Callithrix jacchus: one gene and its partners. The protein of the gene in region 4 interacts with the protein of the main gene of each other region in a pairwise test. Links are inferred from orthologs where the notes say so. Each region holds a gene or a part of one and is shown on either strand. Other genes may lie near its edges.

Region 1 (4,311 bases), on a different chromosome or scaffold from region 4:
ATTCACAATGATATTTTTCTTTGGGCATTGCCCCTGGAGCCCACCTGAAGCCCATCCCATCCTCTGAGGATTACCTGATTACCTCGCAAATCAAGGGCTGCCAGGTCACAGATATCCTGATGGGCAACCCCACCCCCCTCTCCCAGGTGTCTTGTGTGTTTGTCAGAGAAAGCACCTTCACCTCCAACCCTCAGGAAACACTGTTTCAAATCCAGGCTTCACTGCTAAACAAGAATGAATATCACTTTCTTATGTTAATTAATCTCTCCACAAAATATTTTTTTGGCTGGAAATTCCAAAAACAAGATGAAAATTTCTTAATTTACACAATCAGAATAATCTTGCTTTCTCCAAAATATTGTGAGAACTAGAAAAATAAAATTCCTAGCCTCTCTCTCTGTGTGGCCCATGAATGCATGTGAGTGTGGGAGGTGGGAGCTGGGAGTGTGGGCTCCCACGTAAAATGTAAAAATAAGTTTGAAAATAAATAACCTAAAAGCCACAGGGTGTATGAGGGATTGTAGGCAGGTGGGGACAAATGTGGGCTCTGGATTCATTCTGAGTTGAAGTGCCAGCTCCTTCTCTTGCTAACCTTTACAAGCTATGGAAAGTTAATTACCTACATTATTCCTGTTTCCTCCATGGTGCAAAGGCAGTAGATGCCTTCCTCACAGGCCTGTTGTGAGGGTTAAATAAAAGGGGAAAAATACATGTTAGGGCTGAGTACAATGTCTCACTCTTTAAGTGCCCACAAGACATCCATTAATTTTGATAAAATATAGAAACTTAAGGGAAGGAAGTTATTTTTAGTTTTTATTCTCATATGATGTGATGATGGACAATCATACTGCTTTGTTTTTATACTTTATATTTGTGCATGTTTTTGAAATAAACAATTACATTTAAAGACAATAAAACTATAACCTTCACAAATTTAGGAGTAATCACGAGTAGCGATTTTTCCCACCCTATTAGGGGAAACAGTTACATCTGTACACATTGTAAAATAGAGAATTGTCTCATTCCCAATCATAGTGCTCTGTTAAAATGATAAGAGTACACTTTTCCAAAAATGATTGTATCACAAGAATCTTTAATGTTTACTTTAAAGTTGACTCACGGTAGGGTTGTATATGTGTTTAGTAAATTGTGCCAAGTGCTCACATTGAGACCAGTCCAGTTCAAATCAGTTTACTCCACGAGAATGTCTTCTGTGCCCAGCAAGGTCACGAAGAGCCTTGACTTTTCTCTTGGTTAGGCCAGCTTTGCTGGTGAGTTCTTCCAAACTCTGCAGGAGCAGTCTACCCCAACACACATCACCAGTCCCATATAAAATAATAAGATGCAAACTTTCTCAAGGTACTTCGTCAGTTTAGCATGTCTCAGGTACAAAAATCCAAGAAAGGTAGCACAAAAGCGAAAGCACCAACCAAGCTTACATATAAACAAACATGCATACATCCTAAATACTACACAAGAGTACCCAAATGAATACAACATTGCATTAAAGGTATAAAAGCACTGTACTGAAAACTTAAAAGTTACACGTGAATACTGCACTGTAAATCCCGAACACTCTAATGACCCACCCCCACCCTTCCACAGCCCCGGTGAGGGTCAGAAAGCATTTCATCTGCCTCCAGACCTTGCTAGTCCTCGGAGACACTGTTGCGGGGGCAGTGAGCAGCGGGATTAGCCTCCCGCAGAGCTCTGGCCTCCTCCAGGGCTTCTCTGTATCGGGAGGGCCAGGCCTGGGGGTCTTTCTTAAAGACCCTGGCCAGGAACTCCATGATTTGCATCTTGGTGATTTCACGGCTGGCCCGGGAGCCCCAGAAGAACTCATACTCTGGCGGCTCCACGTACGGGACGCGCTGGTACTTCAGGTAATTCTGTTGGACGAACTCCTCGGTGATGAGCTTTCGCACGTCCCCGAAGGTGGAGTGCTTCTTCCAGGGCCGCAGCCCCAGGATGCGCAGCACGTTCCAGACGGCGCTCTCTCTGGCGCCGCGGCCCTTCACGTAGATGAGGCTCAGGATCATGAGCAGGAGGCCCGTCATGGGCATGCGGTTGCTCAGCGCCACCCTGTCCAGCTCCTCCGGCTCCAGCGCTTTGACCAGCGCAAACTCCATGGTGTGCAGGCTGGTCAGCCTCAGGTGCAGCCCGAACACCCGGGCGAGGATGAGGCTGGTGCGCCGCAGGATGCTCCTGCACCACTTCTTGTAGCTGCCGATGACATCTTTCACCATGTCTGGAAACCAGATGATCATCTTCTTCTGGTCCTTGACCAGCACGTACCACATGAGCTCGTGCGCCTTCTGCACCAGCTGCGCCGGGGCGGGCGGCGCCGGGCCGGGCTGGGCCGCGCTCGGGGCCTGGTGGGCGCGGCCCTCCTCTGCGGCCTCCAGCAAAGCCTTCGGGTCGACCTCCTCGATCGGGGCCTGGGGCGGCTGCGCGGCCTGCGGGGCGGCCGTCGGGCCTAGGGGAGGGCTCTGCGGCTCCGCCAGGGTCGCGGACGGAGGAACCCCCCCCGGAACCCCAGGGCTGCTCTGCGCCTCGGAGCTGGGTGCCTCGGCGGCAAAGCTAGGGTCGCTCAGATCCTTACTCTGCTCTGACATGTCTGCGCCGTCTGGCAAGGGCAGGGCCTCTGCGTCCAGGAGCTCTTCGAGCCTGCGCTCCCTCCGCGGACTCCTGGAGAGGAAGTGCGCGTTGCTGCGCGCGGCGCCTTCCGCAGCGGCGGGCAGGGCGGGGCGGCGGCGGGACGCGGCACTGCGCCTGCGCGACCGCGGCCAGGGCGGGCGGGCGGCCGGGGGCGGGCGGGGCCGCGAGGGGCCCCGACGGGGAGGGTCCGCGGTGAGGCGTCACCTGGCGGGACAGCGATCCCGGGGTTTCCTGTTCCGGCCGAGGAAGTTCAGGGTAGGAGAGGAGGGAGATGGATGCCTGTGGAGAAGGAGCAGGTTTTGGGGAAAGATGATAACTCAGGTTTTGGGGATGCTGGGGTCGACTTTCCTGGGAAATGCTCGCCTGGGTATATCCAGAATCCAGTTAAGTATGAGAGCCCCAGAGGAAGGTCTGGGAGGCTGTGCAAACTGGAGCTTTATGTGAACGAGTGAGAGGAACGGTCGGGCTGTCCGAGAAGACGTGTAAACTGTGAGGCGGATGTCCGAGGTTGGAATCCTGAGAAATTCCAATAAAAAGTTGATTGACTCCCTCCCTACCACATCAGAGGGGTTATAAGGAAAGGAGAAATGCGGTTATAAGGAAAGGAGAAATGCAGCGTGTCGTTAACGTGATTTCCTACCCGCGTGAGCCGTGAACTTGTTCAGGAGGCAGTGGGCTTAGACCATCATTGATGCTTTCATGGGCATAGGTTTGGCTTTTACACTTACTTTGAGTCACTTTGATTCCATTTTCTTTTATTTTTCCATGCTTAGTCCATAACAGAAGGATTGCCATATCTATTAGCACAAACTTGTATGATAATGCATTTTTCCCTCTGCCCAGCACCTCATTCTCCGATTCACCTTCTCCCAGGACCTTCTCTGAAGCTACTGAGTCCTCAGTGTTGGGAGTCACACCCAAATCATTCCTTCCTGAGATCTCCAAAAAGATATAGGTCCCATGGGCAATATCTGGCGGTGTCTCAGATGACCAAAAGGTAGCGGGGGCAACATATGGATAGCCCTGTTTTCCAGTTATAGAAAACAGATTCCCAGTGGGCCAAGGCAAAGCTGTCACTCCTAGAGGCTGTCCGTGGAAAAAGGGGCATTGCTGGAGCCTCCACAACCAGGGGCCTCCATGCTGCTTCAGCATCCTTGGTCTGCGTTGATGTGGTCCTTCAGCCCTTGCCGGGTTCCCTCTCATCAGCAGCTTCTTAAATATGTTGTCTCGAGTCTAGTTATTGCCACTTGAAGCCCAAAGCATGTTTTAAAATTGTCTTGACATGTCTAGAGTCCTCACTATGAGTATCTATCTTTTCTCATTTGTCACTTTAATTTTCCTCAAGCAGGTTGGTGTTGAAGGGTTTTCTGTGCTTTCTCTGGTTGGGTTGGCATGCATGTGACACTTTTGACAGGGCCATTCCCACGCCAGTCCCTCCAACAGGACTCTTTGGTCTCTTTAGCTTCCCACTCCACCAGGGAAATTCATAGATATCAGTCTTACTTGGAATTATTTCAACACTTTTCTCTTCCTCCTCCTCCTCCACCTCCACCTCCTCTTTCTTCTTTCCATCTACTTCTTTTTCTTCTCCTTCCCCTATTTATGGATATCTACCATTTTCTTGGGAGCACCTTACAGAAGGGTGCCAGTTTT
Region 2 (5,002 bases), on a different chromosome or scaffold from region 4:
CGCGAGAGTTACTGTTTGGTTTTAATAATGTATATAAAATGAATGACTATTTACATTCTTCTTCAAGGCATTAAAAACAATCAGCCAGGTAACAGAAAGGTCTTTAAAGTTTAATACATTAATTATCCTTTATTTTCTTGTAAGTATGTTGAGCTACTTTTAAGAAAATAATTAAATACAATAAAATTTTATTAACCATGTTTCTTTTTTTTTTTTGAGATGGAGTTTCGCTCTTGTTACCCAGGCTGGAGTGCAATGGCACGATCTTGGCTCACTGCAACCTCTGCCTCCTGGGTTCAAGCAATTCTCCTGCCTCAGCCTCCCGAGTAGCTGGGACTACAGGCGGGCACCGCCATGCCCAGCTAATTTTTGTATTTTTAGTAGAGACGGGGTTTCACCATGTTGACCAGGATGGTCTCCATCTCTTGACGTCGTGATCCACCCGCCTCAGCCTCCCAAAGTACTGGGATTTATAGGCGTGAGCCACCGCACCTGGCCTAACCATGTTTCTTATAGTTGCAACTCAAAGTAGCTGTTAGAAGTTTAAGACATAAAGATTTTTATCGTACTCACTTTAGAGAGTGGGTCAAGACCTATTGGCAAATGCTTTTCTTCTGACCCTCAAGTATCTTAAAATTTACCTTTTGTAAATTTTAAAATTTACAAAAATTTTGTAAAAGATCTCATGTGAAGGAATTTGCAATTAACATTAGAATGGTAAAACCGGAAGGAATGTTAGAGATCATAATGACTCTCATTTTACAGATAAGAAATCCAAAATTTGGCAGGGCGTGGTAGTTCATGCCTATAATCCCAGCACTTTGGGAGGCCAAAGTGGGTGGATCACCTCAGGTCAGGAGTTCAAAACCACCTTGACCAACAAGTGAAACGCTGACTCTGAAAAAAAAAAGAAAAAAAGAAATCAAAAGTTTGAAAAATTATTTTAATTATAGGAGGCTTCTTGGCTAGGTGTGATGGCTCATGCCTGTAATCCCAGCACTTTGGGAGGTTGAGGTGGGCAGATTGCCTGGGGCTCAGGAGTTCGAGACCAGCCTGGACAACAGCGGTGAAACCCTGTCTCTACTAAAATACAAAGAATTAGTTGGGTGTGGTGGCGTGTACCTGTAATCCCAGCTACTTGGGAGGCTGAGGCAGGAGAATTGCTTGAACCGGGGAGGCAGAGGTTAAGCCATGGCACTCCAGCCTGGGCGCCAGAGCGAGACTCCATCACCAAATAATAACGATAAATAAATAAATAAAAATAAAGGAAGCTTCTTGAAAAGTAAAAACATTTTTCAGGGAATCCTAAATGTTGTACAAATCCAATCGATAATCTTTTAACACCTCTCTGAAGGGCTGGCCTTACCCTCTTTCCACTTCACACACAGGAAAACTAAGGTATAAGCCAGCTAAGCAGTTCACTCATTATCTCTATGAATCAGCATCATTGCTGGGAACGGAAGCCAAAACTTTGAATGTTGGACCATTCTCACAGATGTAGGCTGATCTCATTGGCAGTGATGCTGGCTGGGGGAGAGGGGAAGCCATGTTTGGGAAGTCCCCTCATGGAACACTGCATTTCACAAGCAGAGTACTTGCTGACTAACGCAAAATGCTTCCCTAAATGAGTTCCAATGGATAATGCAGTCTTTAAGAAACAGAACAGTGCAATGTATCATTTTCACCATCTTCCTCTCAAACCAAGTGCCTTTGAATCGTAGACATTTAAAATGTGCCTTAAACCTGCTTCATCTCAAATACTCAGGAAATGCATATAATTTTATTTACTTTTTATTTATACCAGTCGTCTTTGTGAAACCCTTCATGTCCCCAGTGAATATTTAGGAGGAGTCTATTAATTTGGATCCCTCCTTCTCTCTTTATAAATATTATCACCCTGGAACATTAAGTATTGATCATAAATAAGCAAAATAAAAGTTCCTGGCAAATCTCAATATATCTCTTTTTCCCACCAAACATGACAAACTTCTAAAGACAACTCAACCCTTCACACACACACACACACACACACACACACACCCTCAGCTGTGCCGGCGTCCCTGATGTTGTATCTAGTTTACCTACAAGACCCATTCCCACGGGTCATGACCCATTATTTCTGATGACCACATTGAGTGCTGTGAGGTGCCCAAACCATTACCGCATCCGCCTCCCTGTGAACCATGCCCAGTGAGCTCATGCGGGAACCTGGGTTGGAGCGCTCCTCGCTGTGCAGCTAAAGGATCCATCACGAATCTGGGAACCCTCCCTCGCGGTTCTCCCGGGCCACACAGCGTGGGAGCCGCTGGGTTAGGGCAGGAAAAGGGGCGCCTGCTTGGTGGTGGGGTCAGGCTGTGCGCAGCCAGGGAAGCCGAGTTTGGGGAGAAGGCAGCGGGGGAGCCGAAGGGGACCAAAATACCCACAGGGGCCGAAAGAGTTGGGGAAGAGGGGGCTGCGAGGACGACCCCGGTTCAGGCGGGAAAGGAAAGACGGAAAGGGGGCGCAGGAAATGGGCGCCAAAGAAAGAAGTGAGAAATTGCGGAGGAGGAAGTCGTCCCTGGAAGAGGAGGGGCAAAGGGGAAGCGAGAATGGAGTGTTTGCACTTTGGAGAGGGAAGGGCCAGAGCCACTCCCGACCAGGCCGGCGGGGCGAGCGCCTGGGAAGGGGCGTCCCGGTGGGCCGAGAGGGCGGCGCGGTGCCCGCGGTCCCCGGGGTCCCTACCTGAACCGCTCCTGTCCCGCCGTGTCCCAGAGCTGCAGCTTGATCCTCTTGCCCGGCTCGATCTCCAGCAGGCGGGAGAAGAAGTCCACGCCGACGGTGGGGTCGCAGGCGGGGGAGCGCAGCCCGGGGAAGCGGCCCTGGGTGAAGCGGTGAAGGAGGCAGGACTTGCCCACGGTGGAGTCCCCGATCACGATGAGGCGGAACTGGTAGATCCAGATGGTCTCCATCGCTCACGTGCCCCGCTGGCTCCCGGGCCGCCCCACCCGCGGGGTAAGTTCGGCGGCGGGAACTGTCCCTTCAGCACCTCGCGGGAGCCCGCCCGCCGCCTTCCAGCATATTCCTGCGGCTGCGGCTGCGGCCGCCGCCTGGTGCCCGCCCTCTCGGGAGAGAGAGGCGGGGCCCGGCCCAGCTAGGGGCGGGGCCTCGGGACGGGGGCGGGGCGGGGGCGCGTGGGAGGGGGAAGTAGGCTTTTCTGCCGCGAACCCCCGCCCCTGACCGACTGCAAATCACTATCGCTCAACGCTCACTGGTCGCCGGCCGGAAAGTGGGCGTGGCCAGAAGACGTGACACCAGCAACAACCAAGGAAAATGAAGCAAGGTCTGAACTCCCGGAGGGTCAGCCAATGAAAAGTGAGAGTCATTTTCTTATAGGCGTCAGGGCGGGCTCGTCAGATTAGGGCTTTGCTTTTGGAAGTCCCTGAGGCCATAACTTGGGTCATTGCTTTGCTTCCTCCCACTTTTGTTTTTTCTTTTCTTTTTTTCTTTTTGAGGCTGGGTATCGTTCTATCCTCCAGGCTGGAGTGCAGTGGTGCGATCTCGGCTCACTGTAGCCTCAAGCGATCTGCACACCTCAGCCTCCCAAGTAGCTGGGACCACAGGTGTGCGCCACCACACCTGGCTAATTTTTTTCTGGGTTTTTAATGTGTTATTTTAGAGACTTGGTCTCACTATGTTGCTTAGGCTGGTCTTGAACTCATGGGCACAAGCGATCCACCCACTTCAGCCACCTGAGTAGCTGGGACTACAGGCGGGGAACAGCACACCAGGCTAATTTTTTCATTTTTTTGTAGAGATGGGGTTCAGCCTGGTCTTGAACTCCTGACCTCAAGCGCTCCTCCAGGCTCGGCCTCCCAGTGCTAGGATTACAGGCGTGAGCCACCGTACCCTGCTTTCTAGTCTTGATGAGAGCCACCTCCAAGGGGTTTTAAGGTGATGGAGTTTTGGGCAAGACTGAAATACATTTGCAGAACTAGTTCTCGGTGCTTCCAGGAAGGGCTCTGGCTGTTGCTGCATGCTCCCACTGTCTGTTCTTCACCTCTGTGAGTACCACAGAAGACTCAGAAACGCCAACTATCATCACCATACCCTCTCCCTCCAACCCCAGGGACAATCGGAAAAAAAAAAAAAAGGCAGGGAAAATGTTGAGATGCTGATGAAAGTTTCATCTCTCTTTGGTCTCCATATTTTAAGACAGAAAAAAGTGAACAGGTGGTCTCTTAGCTCATGTCTGATCAATGATGTAAGTAAACAAAGCAGAATTTAGGCCGGGCGCGGTGGCTCACACCTGTAATCCCAGCACTCTGGGAGGCCGAGGCGGGTGGATCACGAGGTCAAGAGATCGAGACCATCCTGGTCAACATGGTGAAACCCCGTCTCTACTAAAAATACAAAAAATTAGCGGGGCACGGTGGCGCGTGCCTGTAATCCCAGCTACTCGGGAGGCTGAGGCAGGAGAATTGCCTGAACCCAGGAGGCGGAGGTTGCGGTGAGCCGAGATCACGCCATTGCACTCCAGCCTGGGTAACAAGAGCAAAACTCCGTCTCAAAAAACAACAACAACAACAACAACAAAAAACAAAGCAGAATTTAAATTCTGGCGAGATCTTACTACTTTCTTGTGCCTTTCCTCAAACTGAGTAATAATGATGTCAAGGTTTATCTTAAAAAAAAAAATTTTTTTTTTTTTTTTTTTTTTTTTTTTAAAGATGGGGTTTCACCATGATGGCCAGGCTGGTCTTGAACTACTGACCTTAGGTGATCCACCCACCTCGGCCTCCCAAAGTGCTAGGATTAAGGCGTGAGCCACCGCGCCTGGCTTTTTTTTTTTTTTTTTTTTTTAAGGTTTATCTTTAAAAAGTTAAACAGTTTAAAAGTCTGTGTTTAGGTCGGGCGTGGTGGCTCACTCCTGTAATCCCAGCACTTTGGAAGACCAAGGCAGGCAGATCGCCTGAGATCAGGAGCTTGAGATCAGCCTGACCAACACAGCAAAACCCAGTCTCTA
Region 3 (5,006 bases), on a different chromosome or scaffold from region 4:
CCAGACTGCACACTTTCTTCCTACAGGGTCCAGCCCTATAGGGTCCTTTGAGCCCCTCTCTACTGGCGCAGAGATGAGAAACTGGAAATAAAAGACACAAGATGCTGAGATAGAAAAAAGTCTGGGCCCAGGGGTCTACTGCTAACCAGTATACATGGAGACCAGCAGTGGCCCCGAGTGGCTGGACACTCTGACTTTTATTGAGTACAAAGCAGAGGGCCGGGTAGGTAGGGTGAGGCAGTGGCGGTCAGTGATAGGGTCAGGTAAATCACGTGTCTTGGAGATCGGGGCCCAGGTCCTTAAAGTGGAGGAGGCGAGGAGAAAACCTAATGCATCAGCACTTCTTCATACTTGTCGAGAAAGAACAAAGACATTAAAATTTATGTTACTTTTACTCATTCTAATCCAAGAAGAGGAACCAGGTGCAGAAGCGGAACATGAAGGTAGCCATGGAACGTCACCGCTGAGGCACAGCACAGCATAGAGACGGTTAAGCCCCTGAATGTCTGCAGGCCTCCCTGACAGCCACCAGGCCTACCGCAAGAGCTTGCGGGGAGCAGAGTTTTCTCCTAAGTCCTCCAAGGGAGGAGACATGTCAGACGTCTCCTTCCCTAGCTGGCTAAACAGCGGGCGCTTTCCCAGCGCTAATGCTGGCGCTGCCGCACAGCCGAGGTGCCTTCCAGCAGCCCTTAAGCAGGTGTGACAGAGGGCTTAGAGCACCTTGCTCTAGGGTCACCTCTTTCACAATGTTACTTCAGTTCCATGCTTCATGGCCCGAGAATCATCAGCAAAATTAAAAGGTTATATTGAGTATATATATATATGATTACATATGCATATGTGATTATGATTATAGGAATAACTGTGACTATATCGCTAATTCTTTTCTAGTTCAATATTTATATGGGAACAGGCTGAGGCTTCAGAGCCTTCCTTGCCTTGGCCCTTGCGGGGTCTCCCATCCACACCTTCCCGCCGCCTTCACGCAGTGGAAAGCTGCACAAGCCCTTGGAGTCCCTTTAAGAAGGCTCTGCCCTCTTGACCTAGTCACCTCTGAAACACCAGCGCCTTGGGGTGAGGATTTCACATGTGCACATTCAGTTACCGCAGCGGGGACAGGACCAGCTCTGAGGGCGCCTGGGCAGCTGCTTTTTCATCCACAAGTTCACTGGGTAATTCTCAGAAACTGCACAAATCATTAAGGGCATTCCCTTGTTAGGCGCCCCATACGGAATCGCGGCCGGCGGTGACCAACCAGTTGATGGTGTTAGCTAGGCCTGTCTTAGGAGTTTTCTTTCTTTCTTTTTTTTTTTTTTTTTTTTTTAAACGAGACAGGGATCTCATGGGCTCAAGTGATCCTCCCGTAGTCCCGTTGGGACTAAGCGCGCTCCTGTCCTGCCCATTTTAACCTTTTTTTTTTTCCAATTATTGGAGACAGAGTCTCCCTCTGTCGCCCAGGCTGGAGTGCACTGGCGCGATCTCGGCTCACTGCAACCTCCACCTCCCGGGTTCAAGCAATTCTCCTGCCTCAGCCTCCTGAGTAGCTGGGATTACAGGTGTGGACCACCACGCCCAGATAATTTTTGTGTTTTTAGTAGAGACGGGATTTAACGATGTTAGCCAAACTGGTCTGGAACTCCCGACCTCAAGCGATCCGCCCCCCTCGGCCTCTCAAAGTGCTGGGATTACAGGCTTGAGCCACCGCGCCCGGCCCATTTCAATCCTTTTTAAACGTCCAGTTCAAAGTCGTTCCCCCGCCGGGCAGGGCCGGTGCAGCAGTGCGCAGGCGCGCGAGGGCGGTGCATTCCGCCGGGGCCCAGAGCGCTGAGCCGGGACAGTGCGCTGCGCAGGCGCACGGGACGAAGCTGAGCGGGCTCAAGAGTGACGTTACGGCGCGCAACGCGGAGGCGGGGTCGGCCCAGGGTCCGACGGTAGAGGGTAGCGGGTCCGGGGTCTCAGGTCGCCGGCCGCAGGCCACGGTCGCCCCAGCACCATGTTCGGCTCCAGTCGCGGAGGCGTGCGCGGCGGTCAGGATCAGTTCAACTGGGAGGACGTGAAGACTGACAAGCAGCGGGAGAACTACCTGGGTGGGTGGGCGCGGCGGGCGGGCTCCGGGCTCCGGGCTCCCTGGCGGGCGCTGGACTCACGGCGCCTACGTCCGCAGGCAACTCGCTGATGGCGCCCGTAGGCCGCTGGCAGAAGGGCCGCGACCTCACCTGGTACGCCAAGGGCCGGGCGCCGTGCGCGGGCCCGAGCCGCGAGGAGGAGCTGGCAGCCGTGCGGGAGGCGGAGCGCGAGGCGCTGCTGGCCGCGCTGTGAGTGTCGGCGGGCAGCAGCGGGCGGGGCTTGGGACCGCGCGGCGGAGGCTGGTTGGGGCCGGGGGTGAAGGCTGGGGGCCCGGCTGGGCGGGGGCGGAGTTGCGGGGACTCGCTCGGGCGGGGCCCTCAGGACGAAGGCTGGAGTGGTGAGGACGCGTGCTGGGAAGAGATTCACTCCCCTGACGCCTGCCTCGATTTCCTCTCAGTGGCTACAAGAACGTGAAGAAGCAGCCCACGGGCCTGAGCAAGGAGGTAACTCCCCGGGGTGGGGGCGCGTGGAGGGCCGTGGGTGTGGGGCCGTCCCGAGAGCTCCCTTTGCTCCCCCACCTGCAGGACTTTGCGGAGGTCTGCAAGCGGGAAGGAGGCGACCCCGAGGAGAAGGGCGTGGACCGGCTGCTGGGGCTGGGGAGCACCAGGTGTGGGCCGGTTTCGTGGGGAGGGAGGGTCTGTGTGGGCTCGGTTACTCGGGTGAGGCGGGCCCCTGCCGGACTGTCCTGATCGCTGTGTTACTGCAGTGGCTCCGCAGGCCGCGTGGCGCTGTCGCGAGAGGACAAGGAGGCCGCCAAACTGGGGCTGTCTGTGTTCACGGTAACCACCCCCCACCCCTCGCCTGATCGCATCGGGGCCCACAGGGGTGGGACGGGCAGGGCACGGCATGGCACGGAGCTCCCTGGGGCGCTGCGGGGCGTGGTGTGGGGCCGGCCCGCACACTTCTCCCCAGAGCGCGCTTCATCTGCAGCACCACCGCGTGGAGAGCGGCGGGCCCGGGACTTCAGCAGCCTCGGCCAGGAGGAAGCCACGGGCGGAGGTTCAGACTGAAAGCAGGTGAGGCCGCCCCGGGGGATCTCGGGAGGACTGGAGCGGCTCCTAGGCAGGCAGGTGGCAGCTTCTCTTTGCGCACCGGCCTTGGCGGTGGCCTGCCCTACTTTCCTTCCTGTCTCTTACTCCTAGGTTTTTCCCCAGCGGAGTTTCTCGGGTCACCCTTGAAGGGAGGTCCTAAGTAATGGCAGTGGTTGGGGGCTGTGCTGTAGGAGGGCACTCATGACCTGGGCAGGAGCCTTTTTCTGCGTGGGTGGCACCTCGAGGGATTTTCCTGGGTAATGAGCCTGGGCTGTAACCCCAGGAGTGGCCTGTGGGTGCAGGTACGAGGAAGGTGTCACCTTGCAAGGGCACAGCTCAAGTGGAACAGGGCCATGCAGTCGAGATAGGGATATTGCATCTGTCTCAGTGGCCATGTGACTGCGTGACTGAGGAGCGAAATCTGTAATCTCATTTAACTGATTTAAAGATGCATTTGTGGGTGGTGGCTTCATCTCCTGGATGGGACCTGCCTGTGCTCACTCTCTGAGGCGCATTTTGTACCCTCCCAGCTCTGAAAGCCACAGGAAAAGCAAGAAGGAGAAGAAGAAAAAGAAAAAGAAGAAACACAAAAAAGAGAAAAAGAAAGACAGAGACAGGCGACCAGCTGAGGCCGCCACCTCTCCCACATCTCCCGAGAAGTATGCCCTGGCCCATGTCTTGGGGGTAGGGGTTTGGTTGACCCCCACCTCTATGAGTGACTGCCCTTGGTCTTCCCAGGCCCAGGCACTGCCACCATGACTGTGACTCCGACTTCCCCTGCTGCAAGAGGAGGAAGCGGGGACACAGTGGGGACAGGAGCCCATCTTGCAGGCGGCATGACAGACTCTGAAGTCTGATGGTTGGACCCTGCTCACTGCTACTGTGGGAACTGGAACTCTCCCTTCACCTTGCTTGCCTCCTGCCTCAGGAAAGCCCCTTGTGTGGGTGAGACCTGAGGCTGCTCCTGTGGAGTGGCTCTGGGCACCAGCCTGTGGGGTAAAGGCTGCACAGCTAGCTCTGGAGCAGCCAGCTTCCTGGAAGACCTCCAGGTTTCGCACAGCAGGGATGGCCCCTGGCTTGCCCTGCGAAGGTGAGCCTGCCCACAGGTACCCGTAGAGGCTGGACTCCCCGTGTCCTGCTCATGGCTGTAGCAGCCATGGGCCTATGAGCAATCTACCTGTGGCCAAATACGGTGATCTCTATTTTTCCTTACGTTGACTCTATATTTCAATAAATATATTTTAAAAGAAAGGTGTATCATCCTAATTGGAAGGTCAGTATCAGGAGTTAACGAGATCCCAGGATGGAGCTGCGCCCTAATGCTTCGTTAACGTCCAAGAATGCAGTCCTCCCATGGGTGCCCAAAACCCTACCCATACCCAGGGAGGGCTGAGGCCCTGGAAAGGGGTGCTCAGCTGGCAATGTGGGGACCTGGGACAGGTGAGGTCAAGGACTGCAGAGTCTGGAGGGGTAACCTCAGTTGAGTGAGGTTTGGGGACTCTACCTGCCTGCCAAGACCCAGCTGCCTCAACCCTCAGCTCTGCTTCTTCTAGGGCAGTGGGCTAGGTGTCCCGTTTGCCTGACCCTGAGAAGAGTCAGGGCTGTTCAGGACATGTGTGGGCACCTGGACTGGATCACGGCTCACTGCAGTCTCAGAAAACTTCCTTAGGGCCCTGGCCAAGGTGTGGCTCCTGTGGCTTTGACCTCTGCCCTTGCCCTCACATAGCCACTGGAGTGGAGATGGCACTATCTGTCTTGGGCACTGTCAAGGGGGATGAAGGTCGGGCCACCTGGCCAGGACATCCTCACCTTTTGGGACTCTGCCCAACAGAACACAGACCTTGGACC
Region 4 (4,924 bases):
ATGAATCTGGTAGAGCTATAGACTTCCACCTTAATTTTAAAAACCAGACTTCTGAGTGAGGGTTCACTTGAACAAAGGGAGTTCTAGCTAAAAAAACAAGCTTGAAAGATACTGATCTTATCCAATGTCATCTTATGAGGAAGAAACTGAGGCCCAGGGAAAGAAGTGGTTTTTCTGTAGTAATCCAGCAAGCTGGTGACAAAGATGAACTCAAAAGTTAGATCTTCTAATTCTAGCACCTGGGGCTCTCCTCACCACACCCTGGGGCCCTTTCAGTGACTCCTAAAGGGATAGCCTGATGACAAGTGGCTGTTCTCATTGGCCTGGCTTCCCCTTGAGACTGGGGATGAGGAAAATGAAACAGCAACTACCATTTCCTGGGTGTCCTAAGTGTTTACAGGCCCTGTACTAGGGATTAACATAAACACAACAACAATAACAAATCTCATTTAAACTTCGCAAGTGTAAATAAAACAATACTTTACAGGTATGAAAAGAGAGGCCCAAAAAGCTCCAACAATTTGCACCAAAATCATATCCCTAGCAGATGGACAGGTACGATACAAACCCAGAACTCTTAACCAGTACCGGACAGTTCTTCCACAATCATAACAATTACCCTCTACTGCCCCTTGGGCCCCCTGTCCCCAGGAGCCTGGTCAGCCAAGACTCACATCCTCTGATGAGTGGCAATCACCAGAATTGGTTGTCTCAGGGCTACTGCCATTTTTAATTTTCTTCTTCTTTTTTGCTCCTGCAGGAACACCAGGGCTATTCCTCTGCTGATATTCTCTTAGCTGTGGAAAAGAAGAGCAGTAATACTCATGAGAACTACACGCCCCTACAGTTACATCCTACCTTACAATTTTTCCAAAATAGTCTTATAGACCATCTGATTTAATGCCACCAACAACTGTACAAGGTCTTATCACAATCACTTAGTGAATGAGAGGGACTGATACCATGGCTTAAAAAAAGGCAATAATTGAACTTAAACTCAGTCTTCTGACTCTGAGCTCGGGGGTTTTGCCACAGATCAGCAGCTACCAGGGGCCAAATCCAGAGGCAGAGGTAGAAAAGCAAAAATTAAGTAGGCAAGAACTATACACTGTGTGGTTTAGAATCATACATCCTCACATGTTTGTTAGGGTAAGAAATGCACGAATACCTCTCAAACTTTTACATCAATGTATCTTCATGGCAGAAGACAGCCTTTCTGTTAAATCTAGGAATTTAACAGAAAGAGGACAACCCAAGCCAAGTCTGGTGTATTCTCACACATTTATGTGACTGTCATCCCTAAGTACATTAATGTTTTTCTCTCTCACGAGAATCAAGGGAAACTGATGCTTCAGAAAGAAAGATACATATTTATCCATGGCACTCCAAGTACCCCAGGATGAGATGATATGAGAAAGATTCATGCTGCCAAGTTCAATTTCCCAAGACCTGTTCCAAAGAAGATAAGCAGATCTCATTCCAAAGACCACTGATTAAAGGGCACTCTGGTCCCAGAACCATGGAGAATTCGAATATGAGGTAGAGAGATCAGAAAAAAATGTTAAAGTCTCTCTGGAGAGTAGAAGCCTGGGAGAAAACCAAACCAAACCCATTCTCACATTGCCAACCAGAGATACTGCCAACGTTTTGAACTCACAGGGGAAGTGCAGGCTTTTCACACTGTCAACGTTTGTGTTAAGGGAGTAAGGCAGCCTGAAACCTCTCCCTCCTAGGTCCCATAGCCCCCATTCCCCTTCCAGCTGGAAATTTATGCTGTGACCAGAGGAACCAGAAACGGGATGAGAACACTTATGGGGCTGGGTCCTAAGATCAAAGGCTGGTCTAGAGCACTAATTACGGTTCCGAGAGGGGTTGTGACGTCACTACATTCCACTCTTCCCGGGGGTGGGGGGGACATCGACGCGACGTCCGAGTCGCCGCTCTGTGATGGGGGAGGGGAGCACAGGGCCAGGACCCAGGTCCTTGGAGACTCGAGCCCAAAGAGCCCAGGGAGAGCCGGTGTGGGGCTGCAGGAGGTGAGGGCCGAGTCTGGAGAGGGGAGCTCCTGGAGTCTCGGGCCCAAAGTCACTGGCTGAGCTGGTGGGGACCGAGGTCCTTGGAAACACCAGCCCAAAGAGCCCAGGGAAGTTGGACCTGGGGCGGCAGGAGGTGAGGGCCGAGTCTGGAGCGGGGAGCCCCGGGAGTCACCAGCCCAAAGTCACCCGGGGGCGACTGGCGAGGGCGGGGGCTGGGCGGTTGAGGGGGCGGGGCTGGCTGACAAGACTTTGGTGGGGGCAGCCCAGAGGCGCCGGGGGGCCCAGCCCGGTGTGCCTCAGGAGTGGCAGGGACTCTGGCCGCGGTCATGCCATAGGAGGGGGGCTGGGGCTGGGTCGGGGGGCCGCGACCCGGCGCGGTTTACCTTTTTCTTCGCTGCGGCCAATTTGCTCTGTCGGGTTTCTTCCGACATCGCGGGGCGGGGAGGGAGGCGGGGTTGGGGCCACATCAGCGCAATCCCGGCAACCACTGCGCAAGTCAGTCAGCCACCGCGCAGCTGTGCGACGGAGCCAGAGGAGGCGTAACCAGGGCGCTATTAGAGGGCAGATTAGGGGCGTGGCCTCAACGATCCAAGCCCATTGGCCAATGAGAAAGATGAAGCGGAAAGGAGGCGTGGCCAGGCGGCGGCGTGGCCAGAGGGACCTGTGGCGTCACAACAAAAGCTGCGCACGCAACTGCTGTCCCCGCCCATCCCAGGAGAGGAGCGGGGCAGGTTGCCGTTGGGTGCGCGCGCACCTTTCTGTGCGACCGTTCGAGCTCGCGGTCAGAACCTGAGAGGCCGTTCTCCGACTCCCGCCCTGGACCCTCTTGCGCCACTCAACCCCCTGATCCGGGGGCCTCGGACCCCTGGGCTCAGGAGGTGGGCGAGAAGTGGACTCCACAGTTTCTTTCCTGACTCCTCACAGCCCTGCCCCAGACTTTGCCTTTCCAGAAACCACTTCCAAAGACTCCCATCCAGTGCTCCAGACAACCCCCCTCTCGGAACTTCCCCTTCCTAGAGAGTCTCTACCCTGATCCTGGGAGCGTATGTGTCCCCTTTTCAGTTCCGGGCGCTCCTACTTCCCAGCCCCTCCTACTTCCCAGACGCTTCTCCTCCCGCATCCCCACGGTATCCCTGTCCTATCAGAGCGGACTGTGGGTTCAATCAGGCTTTCCCCTCGGATTCCTCTGCAGGACTGAATCAGGACTTACCCGAAGTTGCCGCGGGGCCTTCCGATCCCCTGTGAGTATGTCTTACGCACACCCACCTTCCCATCCCCGACACTCCCTCCGTATGAATCCTTGCCGCTCCCAGCCATCCTCCCCATCCCAACAGCAGCTGTTCCCCACTTGGCCCTCTTCCATGTCGTCTCCCAGCCGACTGAGAACCTCCAGGTCTTTTCTCAATCCCTCCCCTTCCTTTCCTCCCGCCTGCCAGTCTTCAAAGAAGTGCTATCCTGTCCTGTCCTAGTCTTAACTCTTCTCCCTCCCCTTCCTGTCTCCTGCCACCTCAGATGCCTTTCACTCCAGTCAAGCACCAGCCATCTCTCCTGCTTGCTGGTTTCACCCCTCACCCAGCCGCGCCTTTAAACAAACCCACAGCTCCCCAGTCAGGAAAATGCCTGGTGTTCACCTTGGCCACTCCTTTAGTTGCTAATAGTCTCTCCTCTTCTCTGGCAAGTCACCCCCAAAACGCAGCCTCTTCCTCCTCTCGTCCCCCAGTTGGAGTTGCCACTACCACTACCACCACCACCACTCTCAAGTTAGATCATGAGGACCAGGAGAGGTGGCTAACATCTGTAATCCCAGCACTTTGAGAGGCTGAGGCGGGTGGATTATATAAGGTCAGGAGTTCAAGACCAGCCTGGCCAATTTGGTGAAACCCTATCTCTACTAAAAATAAAAAAAATCAGCCGAGGGTGGTGGTGCATGCCTGTCATCCGAGCTACTCAGGAGGCTGAGGCAGGAGAATCATTTCATCCAGGGAGGTGGAAGTTGTAGTAAGCCGAGATTGCCCCACTGCACTCCAGCCTGGGCAACAGAGCTAGACTACGTCTCAAAAAAAAAAAAAGAAGAAGTTAGATCAGGAAAGACTTTGTATTTGTTTGTTTATTGATTTAGCAACTGCGCAATACAGGTGTGTGCCAGAGAGCCCCCTGTCCTCCAGGAGCCACAGGCAAAAAAACAGTTCCAGAACAAGTATGCACATGGGTTCTGAGAGGGGGAGCCCAGGGTTGGACTTGCAAAGAGGGCTCTCCAGAGATGGCAGGGTCAGAGGCAAGGTCTGAAGGGCAAGTCACAGTGAGCCCAGATGATGATGACAAGGTGGCAACCACAGTTTGCCAAAAGCATTTGGCTGATTGAACTCTCTGCAAGTGAGTTGGTTTCCACTGTTTTTGACCATGGGGTAACTAACTACAGATCATGCCTTTCTCATTCATGCTAATTTATTCCTTCCCTTTTTTTCTTTTTTTTTTTTTTTTTTTAAGACAGAGTTTCACTCTGTCACCCAGGCTGGCTTGCAGTGGTGCAATCTGGGCTCACTGTAACCTCTGCCTCCCAAGCCCAACCCATCCTCCCACCCCAGCCTACCGAATAGCTGGGACCACAGGCAAGTGCCATGATGCCTGGCTAACTTTTTGTATTTTGAGTAGAGACAGATTTTCACCATGTTGCCCAGGCTTGTCTCAAACTCATAAGCTCAAAGCAACCCGCCTGCCTCTGCCTCCCAAAGTGCTGGGATTACAGGCAGGAGCCACCATGCCCAACTTCCATTCCTTCCATTTTTAAAAACAAGGCTCTGCCAGGCATGGTGGCTCCTGCCTATAATCCCAGCACTTTGGGAGGCCAAGCCGAGTGGATCAGCTGAGGTCAGGAGTTCGAGACCAGC

What was found.
Region 1: the proteins of GOLGA2 (region 4) and NDN interact in a two-hybrid assay, tested with the Homo sapiens proteins (2 studies listed by BioGRID and IntAct). The link is inferred for Callithrix jacchus from reciprocal best matches to the Homo sapiens genes GOLGA2 and NDN.
Region 2: the proteins of GOLGA2 (region 4) and RAB39A interact in binary tests that used the Homo sapiens proteins (3 or more experiments, as listed by UniProt). The two-hybrid records come from large-scale screens. The link is inferred for Callithrix jacchus from reciprocal best matches to the Homo sapiens genes GOLGA2 and RAB39A.
Region 3: the proteins of GOLGA2 (region 4) and C19H1orf35 interact in binary tests that used the Homo sapiens proteins (3 or more experiments, as listed by UniProt). The two-hybrid records come from large-scale screens. The link is inferred for Callithrix jacchus from reciprocal best matches to the Homo sapiens genes GOLGA2 and C1orf35.

Annotation. Positions count from the first base shown.
Region 1 is NC_133507.1:5,529,546-5,533,856, reverse strand, and holds NDN (necdin), read right to left. Parts: upstream 2,704-4,311; 5' UTR 2,616-2,703; coding exon 1,650-2,615; 3' UTR 804-1,649; downstream 1-803. UniProt on the Homo sapiens protein: Growth suppressor that facilitates the entry of the cell into cell cycle arrest.
Region 2 is NC_133511.1:7,729,911-7,734,912, reverse strand, and holds the start of RAB39A (ras-related protein Rab-39A), read right to left. Parts: upstream 3,104-5,002; 5' UTR 2,949-3,103; coding exon 2,722-2,948; intron 1-2,721. UniProt on the Homo sapiens protein: The small GTPases Rab are key regulators of intracellular membrane trafficking, from the formation of transport vesicles to their fusion with membranes.
Region 3 is NC_133520.1:38,924,838-38,929,843, reverse strand, and holds C19H1orf35 (multiple myeloma tumor-associated protein 2), read left to right. Parts: upstream 1-1,903; 5' UTR 1,904-1,993; coding exon 1,994-2,087; intron 2,088-2,164; coding exon 2,165-2,315; intron 2,316-2,524; coding exon 2,525-2,570; intron 2,571-2,651; coding exon 2,652-2,734; intron 2,735-2,833; coding exon 2,834-2,906; intron 2,907-3,057; coding exon 3,058-3,143; intron 3,144-3,688; coding exon 3,689-3,817; intron 3,818-3,896; coding exon 3,897-4,008; 3' UTR 4,009-4,409; downstream 4,410-5,006.
Region 4 is NC_133502.1:176,882,091-176,887,014, forward strand, and holds the start of GOLGA2 (golgin subfamily A member 2), read right to left. Parts: upstream 3,418-4,924; 5' UTR 3,278-3,417; coding exon of another isoform or gene 3,229-3,277; intron 2,915-3,228; coding exon of another isoform or gene 2,824-2,914; intron 2,822-2,823; coding exon of another isoform or gene 2,641-2,821; exon of another isoform or gene 2,635-2,640; intron 2,588-2,634; 5' UTR 2,504-2,587; coding exon 2,420-2,503; intron 798-2,419; coding exon 675-797; intron 1-674. UniProt on the Homo sapiens protein: Peripheral membrane component of the cis-Golgi stack that acts as a membrane skeleton that maintains the structure of the Golgi apparatus, and as a vesicle thether that facilitates vesicle fusion to the Golgi membrane.